Coturnix japonica: one gene and its partner. The protein of the gene in region 2 purifies or fractionates together with the protein of the main gene of each other region. This does not show direct contact. Links are inferred from orthologs where the notes say so. Each region holds a gene or a part of one and is shown on either strand. Other genes may lie near its edges.

Evidence for each region. Proteins that work in one complex are often made in the same cells at the same time.
Region 1: the proteins of SRPRB (region 2) and SRPRA purify together in Homo sapiens (affinity purification with mass spectrometry; 6 studies listed by BioGRID and IntAct, counting the BioPlex papers as one, with this or other methods). This does not show direct contact. The link is inferred for Coturnix japonica from reciprocal best matches to the Homo sapiens genes SRPRB and SRPRA.

Annotation. Positions count from the first base shown.
Region 1 is NC_029539.1:318,431-321,839, reverse strand, and holds the end of SRPRA (signal recognition particle receptor subunit alpha), read right to left. Parts: intron 3,339-3,409; coding exon 3,220-3,338; intron 3,133-3,219; coding exon 3,046-3,132; intron 2,862-3,045; coding exon 2,689-2,861; intron 2,605-2,688; coding exon 2,391-2,604; intron 2,306-2,390; coding exon 2,142-2,305; intron 2,038-2,141; coding exon 1,939-2,037; intron 1,751-1,938; coding exon 1,622-1,750; 3' UTR 514-1,621; downstream 1-513. Other genes in the region: protein FAM118B, read left to right, coding at 1-5. UniProt on the Homo sapiens protein: Component of the signal recognition particle (SRP) complex receptor (SR). Ensures, in conjunction with the SRP complex, the correct targeting of the nascent secretory proteins to the endoplasmic reticulum membrane system.
Region 2 is NC_029524.1:3,492,303-3,496,291, reverse strand, and holds the start of SRPRB (signal recognition particle receptor subunit beta), read left to right. Parts: upstream 1-1,173; 5' UTR 1,174-1,209; coding exon 1,210-1,321; intron 1,322-1,398; coding exon 1,399-1,493; intron 1,494-1,572; coding exon 1,573-1,650; intron 1,651-2,839; coding exon 2,840-2,922; intron 2,923-3,195; coding exon 3,196-3,332; intron 3,333-3,989. UniProt on the Homo sapiens protein: Component of the signal recognition particle (SRP) complex receptor (SR). Ensures, in conjunction with the SRP complex, the correct targeting of the nascent secretory proteins to the endoplasmic reticulum membrane system.

The DNA of each region.
Region 1 (3,409 bases), on a different chromosome or scaffold from region 2:
CATGATCCTCAGCCCAGCAGTGGTGCCGTGGGTGCCCCCCACACCACAAGCAGCCTCCAGCCTGCAGCGCCATGCGAGGGGAGGAGCAGCGCCCTGCTCAGAGCTGCTGCCTGCCACCGGGCTGAGCCACGCAGGTGCAAGGCAGAGGGCCGGGCCCATCCAGATGCCTGACAGCGTAGTCTGCCTTTTTTACAAGGCTGTGTTTGCTGGGGATGGTGATCTCCCCACCTCAGCTGTAATTTCGTACTTCATGCTTTTGTATTCTGTACTTTCATTTCAGAATGAAACTTGAGCAGTTTTGTTTTTTTTTTACTTGAAGCTCTAGTTTTATAGCCCTTCCTTTATACTGTACAGTATTTTGTATGTTGAAGCTCCTATTAAAGCTCTGTTCAGTTCCATTACCCTGCTGGCTGCTGTTTAGTTTGCATGCACCCATCCCAGGCAGAGGCAGCAACGTCTGCCCTGTGAGGAGGAAAGGGGTCCTGGCTGAAGGCAAGTTAGTTGTACACCGAGAACAAATTATGAAGTTTATTTATATAAATTATGTCTCTTAGCAGACAGCATTCAATTTATTGCACTAGAGCACATCTGCAGTACGGAGCTACAAGACATCGTAAGAGAGTTTTGTATTATTCAGTGTAGCACTTTAGACCGGGATCAAGAGGCACTAAAGGGGGGAGGAAGGGCGCAGGGAAGCAGCAAGCAGCCACCACCATCTTCCAGTATTTTCTTTTCCTTTTGTTACCTATTTGAGGCCAGCAGGCAGCAGAGACCCAGGGGCACACTGCCCTCCATCGCCAGCCGGTGGAACAACCAGCATTACCAGACCACATTGCTGCAGTTCTCAGGTACCCTGCAGCAAGAACCGCAGTGACAACAGAGATGGGGCCATAAGGCAGCTCAGCATCACCCCAGGAGCCCCTGCTTGCCCAGGACAGGGGCAGACTGTTGCCATTTTTGGTTTATCAACTTTGGTGAGCTGCTACAGCCAAAGTTAGCAGCACTGAGAACGGCCAGATGGGCTTAATGCTGTCACTACGCAGCAGATGTCCCTGTTGTACGGTCTGCGAGGGCACAGAAGAGCAGCTCGGGGCTCAGCACCCACCTGCAGCACGGCCCAACAGCCCACAGCTGCTGCTAGAGACAGCACAGCCCAGCACACAGCAGGTCCTTGCGCTGCCACTCAGATAACATGAACAATACAAAGCTCTGGTTTCAGCCTTCACGTGAGGGAGGCCGAGTTGTTGGAACAGAATGAAGGAACCCAGGGGCAGGGCTGTACTGAGAGAAGCCCCACAACTGAGGAGGGAGGAATGCTCCAAGTCGAGAAGAGAGCTTTAATCTACAAATACACCGTAGTCAATAAATATGGCAGGAGAGCACGGACCGAACTGGAATAAGCACAAGGTGATCAGGTAACACCTTCCTTCCTACTTTATACTCATGCAGTGCTGTTAGAGCACCCCAGCGAGCAGTCAGATCAGATGGGCAGGGGAAGCACAGCCCTCGCACCCGCATCCCTTCATTCTGTTTTGCACTACACTGGAAAGACTATCGCTCACAGGGTGAAGCATGTTCTTCTGAGACATCTGCAAACAGCAATTTGGTGCAATACTTGATTTTAGGCCTTCATGAGCGCTGCGACCACAGCCTTGGCGTTAAGGCTACGCAGATCACAGTAGGTTTGTCCAGTACCAACAAAAACGATGGGTTTGCTTGTGATGTAGGTCATGGAGATGGCAGCGCCGACCTGCCAAGGGGACGAGCACCATTAGCAGGGCCCCAACACCTCCCCACCACCTCTAAGAGGGGTCATAAGTGGCCCACTGAAACCAGCCCCTCTTTGTTGACTACTCCTCTTTCCCTCCTGTCACCAACAGGAAGCTCTGCAAGGCTAAGGCTGGTGATAACACCCAGAGCATGAAACGCTCCCCTTACCTTGTCATCGATGGTATCAAACTTGGTGAGCACAATGCCATCAATGAGCCGGGGTGTCTGGGCCATGGAGTGGTCAGCCAGGGCCTTGTTGAATTTGACCTGAGGAAGAGAACATCCTCAAGAACTGAAGTTGTGATGCTGACCCTGTCTGAAACACCTCCCATAAAACCTGCCCTTCCCAGACAGCAGCTCTGAACACTCACCAGCTGATCCACGGCCTCATTTCCCACCAGAGCTTCTCCAACGAAAAGGACCAAGTCAGGAGCATTGACAGCAATGAGTTTTGCCAGAGCTGTCATCAGGGGGGCATTGTCCTGCATGCGGCCCGCTGTGTCCACCAGCACCACATCGAAGCCCTGGTTACGAGCTGGGGAGAAGGGGAGAAAGCATAGAAGTAGGAGGAAGCCCAGGGGTCCCAGGACAGCCCCCTCCTGCCCCCGGCTCCTTCCTACCATAGGAGATGGCCTCCATGGCGATCCCCGCAGCGTCCTTCCCATAGCCCTTCTCATAGAGCTGCACCATGGTCCTCCCGCCGTGGCTCTCTGGGGGATGCAGGGCGTTGAGGCGGCGGGTGTGTGTGCGGAGCTGCTCCACCGCCCCGGCACGGAACGTGTCACAGGCAGCGATGAGGACACTGAAACCATTCTCGATGAGCCAGAACGAGATCTGTGACCGGCAATGGAAAAGCCCTGTTAGTGGCCACAGCCTGAACTCAGTCCTGGCCCAGGAGCCGCCAGCACCGTGCCCTACCTTGGCCAGGTTGGTGGACTTCCCAACGCCATTGACACCGCAGAAAGTGACCACGTAGGGCCGGCGGTGACGCTGCGCATCCATCACGTCCCGCAGGACGTCCACACGGCGCTGGGGCTGCAGGATCTGCACTAATGCCTCCTGCAGGGCCTGCTTCACTGTTGAGGTCACAGCTGGGGAAGGGGAGATAAAAGGAGAACTTGTCACTCCTGGAAAGCCCTGAGCCCCAAATCACCAACACGAGGAAACCAGGAAGGCATCTGGGTATCACAGCTTCACCAGGTCAGGGAAGCAGGGGACTCAGGCCAGCAAGCTGCACAACACCAATAAGAACACAGCCAGGGCACAACCACTTACTGGTGAACGTTCCCATCACTTTCCCTTCCAGTTTCTTTGCCACTGATTCACAGAGCTGGACCGCAATTTCAGCTGCCACATTTTTTGCTTTGGGAGAAAGAGAAGAGAGCAGGGTCATCAAACCTCTAAATTACACCAGTAAGACAAAGCCACGCACAGCAGACCCACACGTACCAATCAAGTGATCTTTCATCTTCTCCAGGACTGGGTCCATGTCCTGTCTTGTCAAGCTCTTGGAGCCCACCAGGCCTTTCAACATGCCAAACATACCTCCGAGGCCACCTTTCTTTGTGCTGCACAGAAGCAGAACAGTTATCTTAGGTGTGAGCTGCATAATGCAAGCAACAGCAAGCAGCAAGGAGGC
Region 2 (3,989 bases):
GCACAGAACACTGATGTGCAGAGGGCCCTCTGCCATTGCTGCTTCCTCTGCCCTTCCTCATCACTCTGAACGTGGCTTCTTTGCTCCTGCCACAGCAAGAAATAAAATCTCAACATCTAAATGCGTTTCCTGAGGTTTCTCAAGTCATTAAACACATTCCTTCCCCAGCACCCTTTGATGCAGACCAGTGTCAGGCACCAACTTGGCTAATGCCATTTGAGGTTCCTGCTGCCCATGAGAGAATCACAGAATCACAGAATGACCCGGGTTGGAAGGGATCTCAAGGATCATGTAGTTCCAACCCCCTGCCTGGCAGGGCCACCAAACATACCTAGATCAGGTTGCCCAGGCCCTGTCCAACCTGGTCTTGAACACCTCCAAGGACGGGCATCCACACCTCCCTGGGCAGCCTGTTCCAGGGCCTAACCACTCTCCTAGTGAAGAACTTCCCCATAACATCCAACCTAAATCTTCCTCTTTTTAACTTAAAACCATTTCCTGTGTCCTGCTATTATCAGCCCTTTCGAAGAGTTTACTCCCCTCCTGGCAGTAAGTTCCCTTCAGGTATTGAAAGGCTGCAGGTGAGGTCACCCCACCTTCTCTTCTCCAGGCTGAACAAACCCAACTCCCTCAGCCTGTCCTCATAGGGGAGGTGCTCCAGCCCCCTGATCATCTTCCTGTCCCTCCTCTGGACCCTTTCCAAAATCTCCATGTCTTTCTTGTACTGAGGGCTCCACACCTGGACACAGTACAACAGATGGGGCCTCACAAGAGCCGAGTAGAGATGGACAATCACCTCCCTATCCCTGCTGACCACCCCTCTCCTGATGGAGAGAAATCCCATTCAATCTGTTTCGAAGCGAAATGGATTGAATATGCCCTAGATCCCAATTAGCAGGTGTTATTTCCTCCATGAAAGTGTACGTGTTGTTAAGGAGGGATATCTATAGGATATCCCAAGGAGGATATACCCAGGAGGATCATCAGCTCCAAACCCAATGTCTCATAGCAGTGTCCCAGCGCTCCCTGAGCTCCAGCATTAGGCTGTGCTCACTGCCATGGAGCTGTGCATGGAGCTGTGCCGTGCTCTGTGTGGCACAACCTCTCCCTGCCACCCCCGCCCCCATCACGCCGCCATGATGGTTTTGGTGGGGGGGAAGAAGCCGGAAGCGGAAGCAGGGCGGTGTGGACGTGTGCACGCGGGCCATCATGGCGGGCGCCGTGGAGCCGTACCTGGACTCGCTGCGGCGGGAGCTGCAGTCTCCCGGCCCTGCCGCTCTCTCCGTCCTCGTGGCGCTGCTCGTCGTCGCCTTCACTCTCCGTGAGTCGCTGCCCGGCGGGGGGGAGGAGGTAACGGGAAGCGGCGGGTGCTCAGTGTCTTTTCCCTCTGTCCCGCAGTGCTGTGGAGGCTCGCGCAGGGCGCACGGAGCAGCCGCAGGGCTGTGTTACTGCTGGGCCTCTGCGACGCGGGGAAGACGCTGCTGTTCGCACGGGTGAGCGCTCAGCTGGGCCCTGCTCAGTCCAATACGTGCGGCTTTAGGGTGCTTATAAGGGTTGTTCTCCCCCACGCAGCTGCTGACGGGCAGGTACCGAGATACTCAGACCTCCATCACCGACAGCGCTGCTGTGTACAGAGTGAGCAACGACAAGGTGAGCGTTCGTGCCTCTTGTGCTTTGCAGGCTTCCCATAGCCTGTACCTATGGTACAGCTTTCAGTTAGTGCACAGGGAGAATGGCTGAGCTGGAGTAGAAAGGTTTGCAAAGGAAAAAGTCCCCAGGGGGGTTCAGTTACCTTTCACATCCTGGTTTACTTTTGTTCTGTGGTGATCTTTTTAGTTTCAGAAGCATTTCTGTCTCTTGCCGGGCTCACACGTGGCAGTGAAGCACGAGGTGGCAGCATGGTGTCTGCTGGTGAAGTGTGAAAGCAGAGGGTGCTTTGCTGCCTTTTTCTCTAACCGTCTTTATTAAAGACAGTAAGAGCAAGGGATTAACAGCAGTCAGAAGGACTGCAGAGTTCTTTGTGTCTCTGGGACTTAGTAGACAGGAGATGTTTTGAAGGAGAGGTGCTGGGATGCTGCTTTTCTGGTTGGAAGTTTGTGTTAAGACACAAAAGCAGCCCAGAAGACGGGATCTTATGAAACCTCCCCCCTCTCAGTAACAACAGATGTTACCCTGAGAATGCTGATGTGGCCCTCAGTGGCTACATCTCAATTAGGAGCATGTGAGAGGCATTTGTTCTCTTTCATATCACTGCTTTTTCTGTCTAATAGCCTGTGGAAAGAGAAACATTCACTGCTTTTGATTCAAAGACCATCTTGCAAGGCTGTTCTTATGCTATTCCCAGCGGTGTTTTGAGTATTTAGGTTGATTTGCAGCTTGAATTCACATAAATTCCCATTCAGAGATTGTGGGGTTATTATTCTGCACCAGGGATGCGCAGAACAGGAGTTTGTGATTTTGCTGTGCAGAGATATAACAGAGACAGAGTAAATCTGCTGGTGTAATGACCAAGGAACTCACAAAGGCTTGTCACTCATGCTGTGATGTGGTTGGTAGTCAGCTCTGTTGCATGGTTTGCTGGTGTTGGCCGTCCTTACAGAGTCCTGTCCATGAGTGTTGTTCCTCAGCTATTTCCTTTGCCTGTCAGAATCTTTGGGGGTGGTGGAGAGATTGCATTATGGGGTGGATTACACACTTCTGTCCGGCATGAGGTTCACTCATGTGCTGCTGCCCTGGCACAAGCTGACTGGAATCTGCTCCCAGATTGGTTTTCTGTGGGGTGTGATTGCCGTTATTCCTGGTGTAAGTGTTGTTAACACCTCCTCTCTTCTGTTCCCAGGGCACTAATGTGACTTTAATCGACCTCCCAGGCCACGAAAGCTTGCGACTTCAGTTCTTGGAGAGGTTCAAGGCTGCAGCCAGGTAATGTGGAGATGGACAGGGGCGCTGGTGGGGCCAGCTGATGTTTGTACCAGGGATGAGACACAGAGGGTGCAGTGAGCCAGGTAGGGGTTGTGCTGTGTGTGCCCTGGGAGTCAGAGCACTGCCTTGGGGAGGCTTAGGACATGTAGTATGTCTTTGGGACAGAGGGGAACGGGTTTCCTGCTGGATATCAATACGAAATGTATTTCAGTCCCCATCTGCTGACCTGCTTTTTGTGTTACAGAATGATCCTACATGTGTTCTTTTTCTCAGGGCCATTGTGTTTGTGGTGGACAGCGTAGCCTTCCAGCGGGAGGTGAAGGATGTGGCTGAGTTCCTGTACCAGGTCCTGGTTGACAGCACTGTTCTCAAAAATGCACCTGCGCTGCTGATCGCTTGCAATAAACAAGGTATTGGCTGCTGCCCTGCAGGTGGGAGTGGTGATTCGGTCCTCGAATAATTATTAGAGTTAATGCCCTGTGTAGCAGAAATGCTAAGCCATGGCCTGAAGCAGTGATTGAGCACTTGATGGAAGGCAGGGCCAACCCAGGGCAGCTCAGGTGCATGCAGTGTACCTGAGTGGCTGCAAGGGGTGGATCCAGGATGCACCCCTTCCCAGACCTCATTTAAGGGTTGGCAGTGGAGAGGAGGGGGTATCTTGCTGGAGAGGAGCTCCCTGCCTACCTGAGGCCTGCAGATAAGCAGCTTTTTTTTCCTTTGTTTCTGTGTCTATGGCTGCTGCACTGGGGCTTATCTTCACTTGCTGAAGCCTGGGACTTTGCTACCCTGCTGTCATTGCTTTGTTTTTTATCACATTATAGTGTTACACCACACACGGTGAATTTCTTAGGGCTTCAGAATTTCAGGGCTTCAGCAAAATGAAGACAGAAATTTAGTTGTAGACTTGGACTACTCAGCAAGAACATTTCTAGCAGCCTTTGGAAGAATTCGTAGGTCAGATACGTCAAATAGCTTAGGAGAAAAGCACCACTTGAAGAGCTAGAGATCGTTAGACAGGCTTAAGTGGTCAATCCGTACAGCTTTTCCTGCAGAGGTGTGGATCCTTG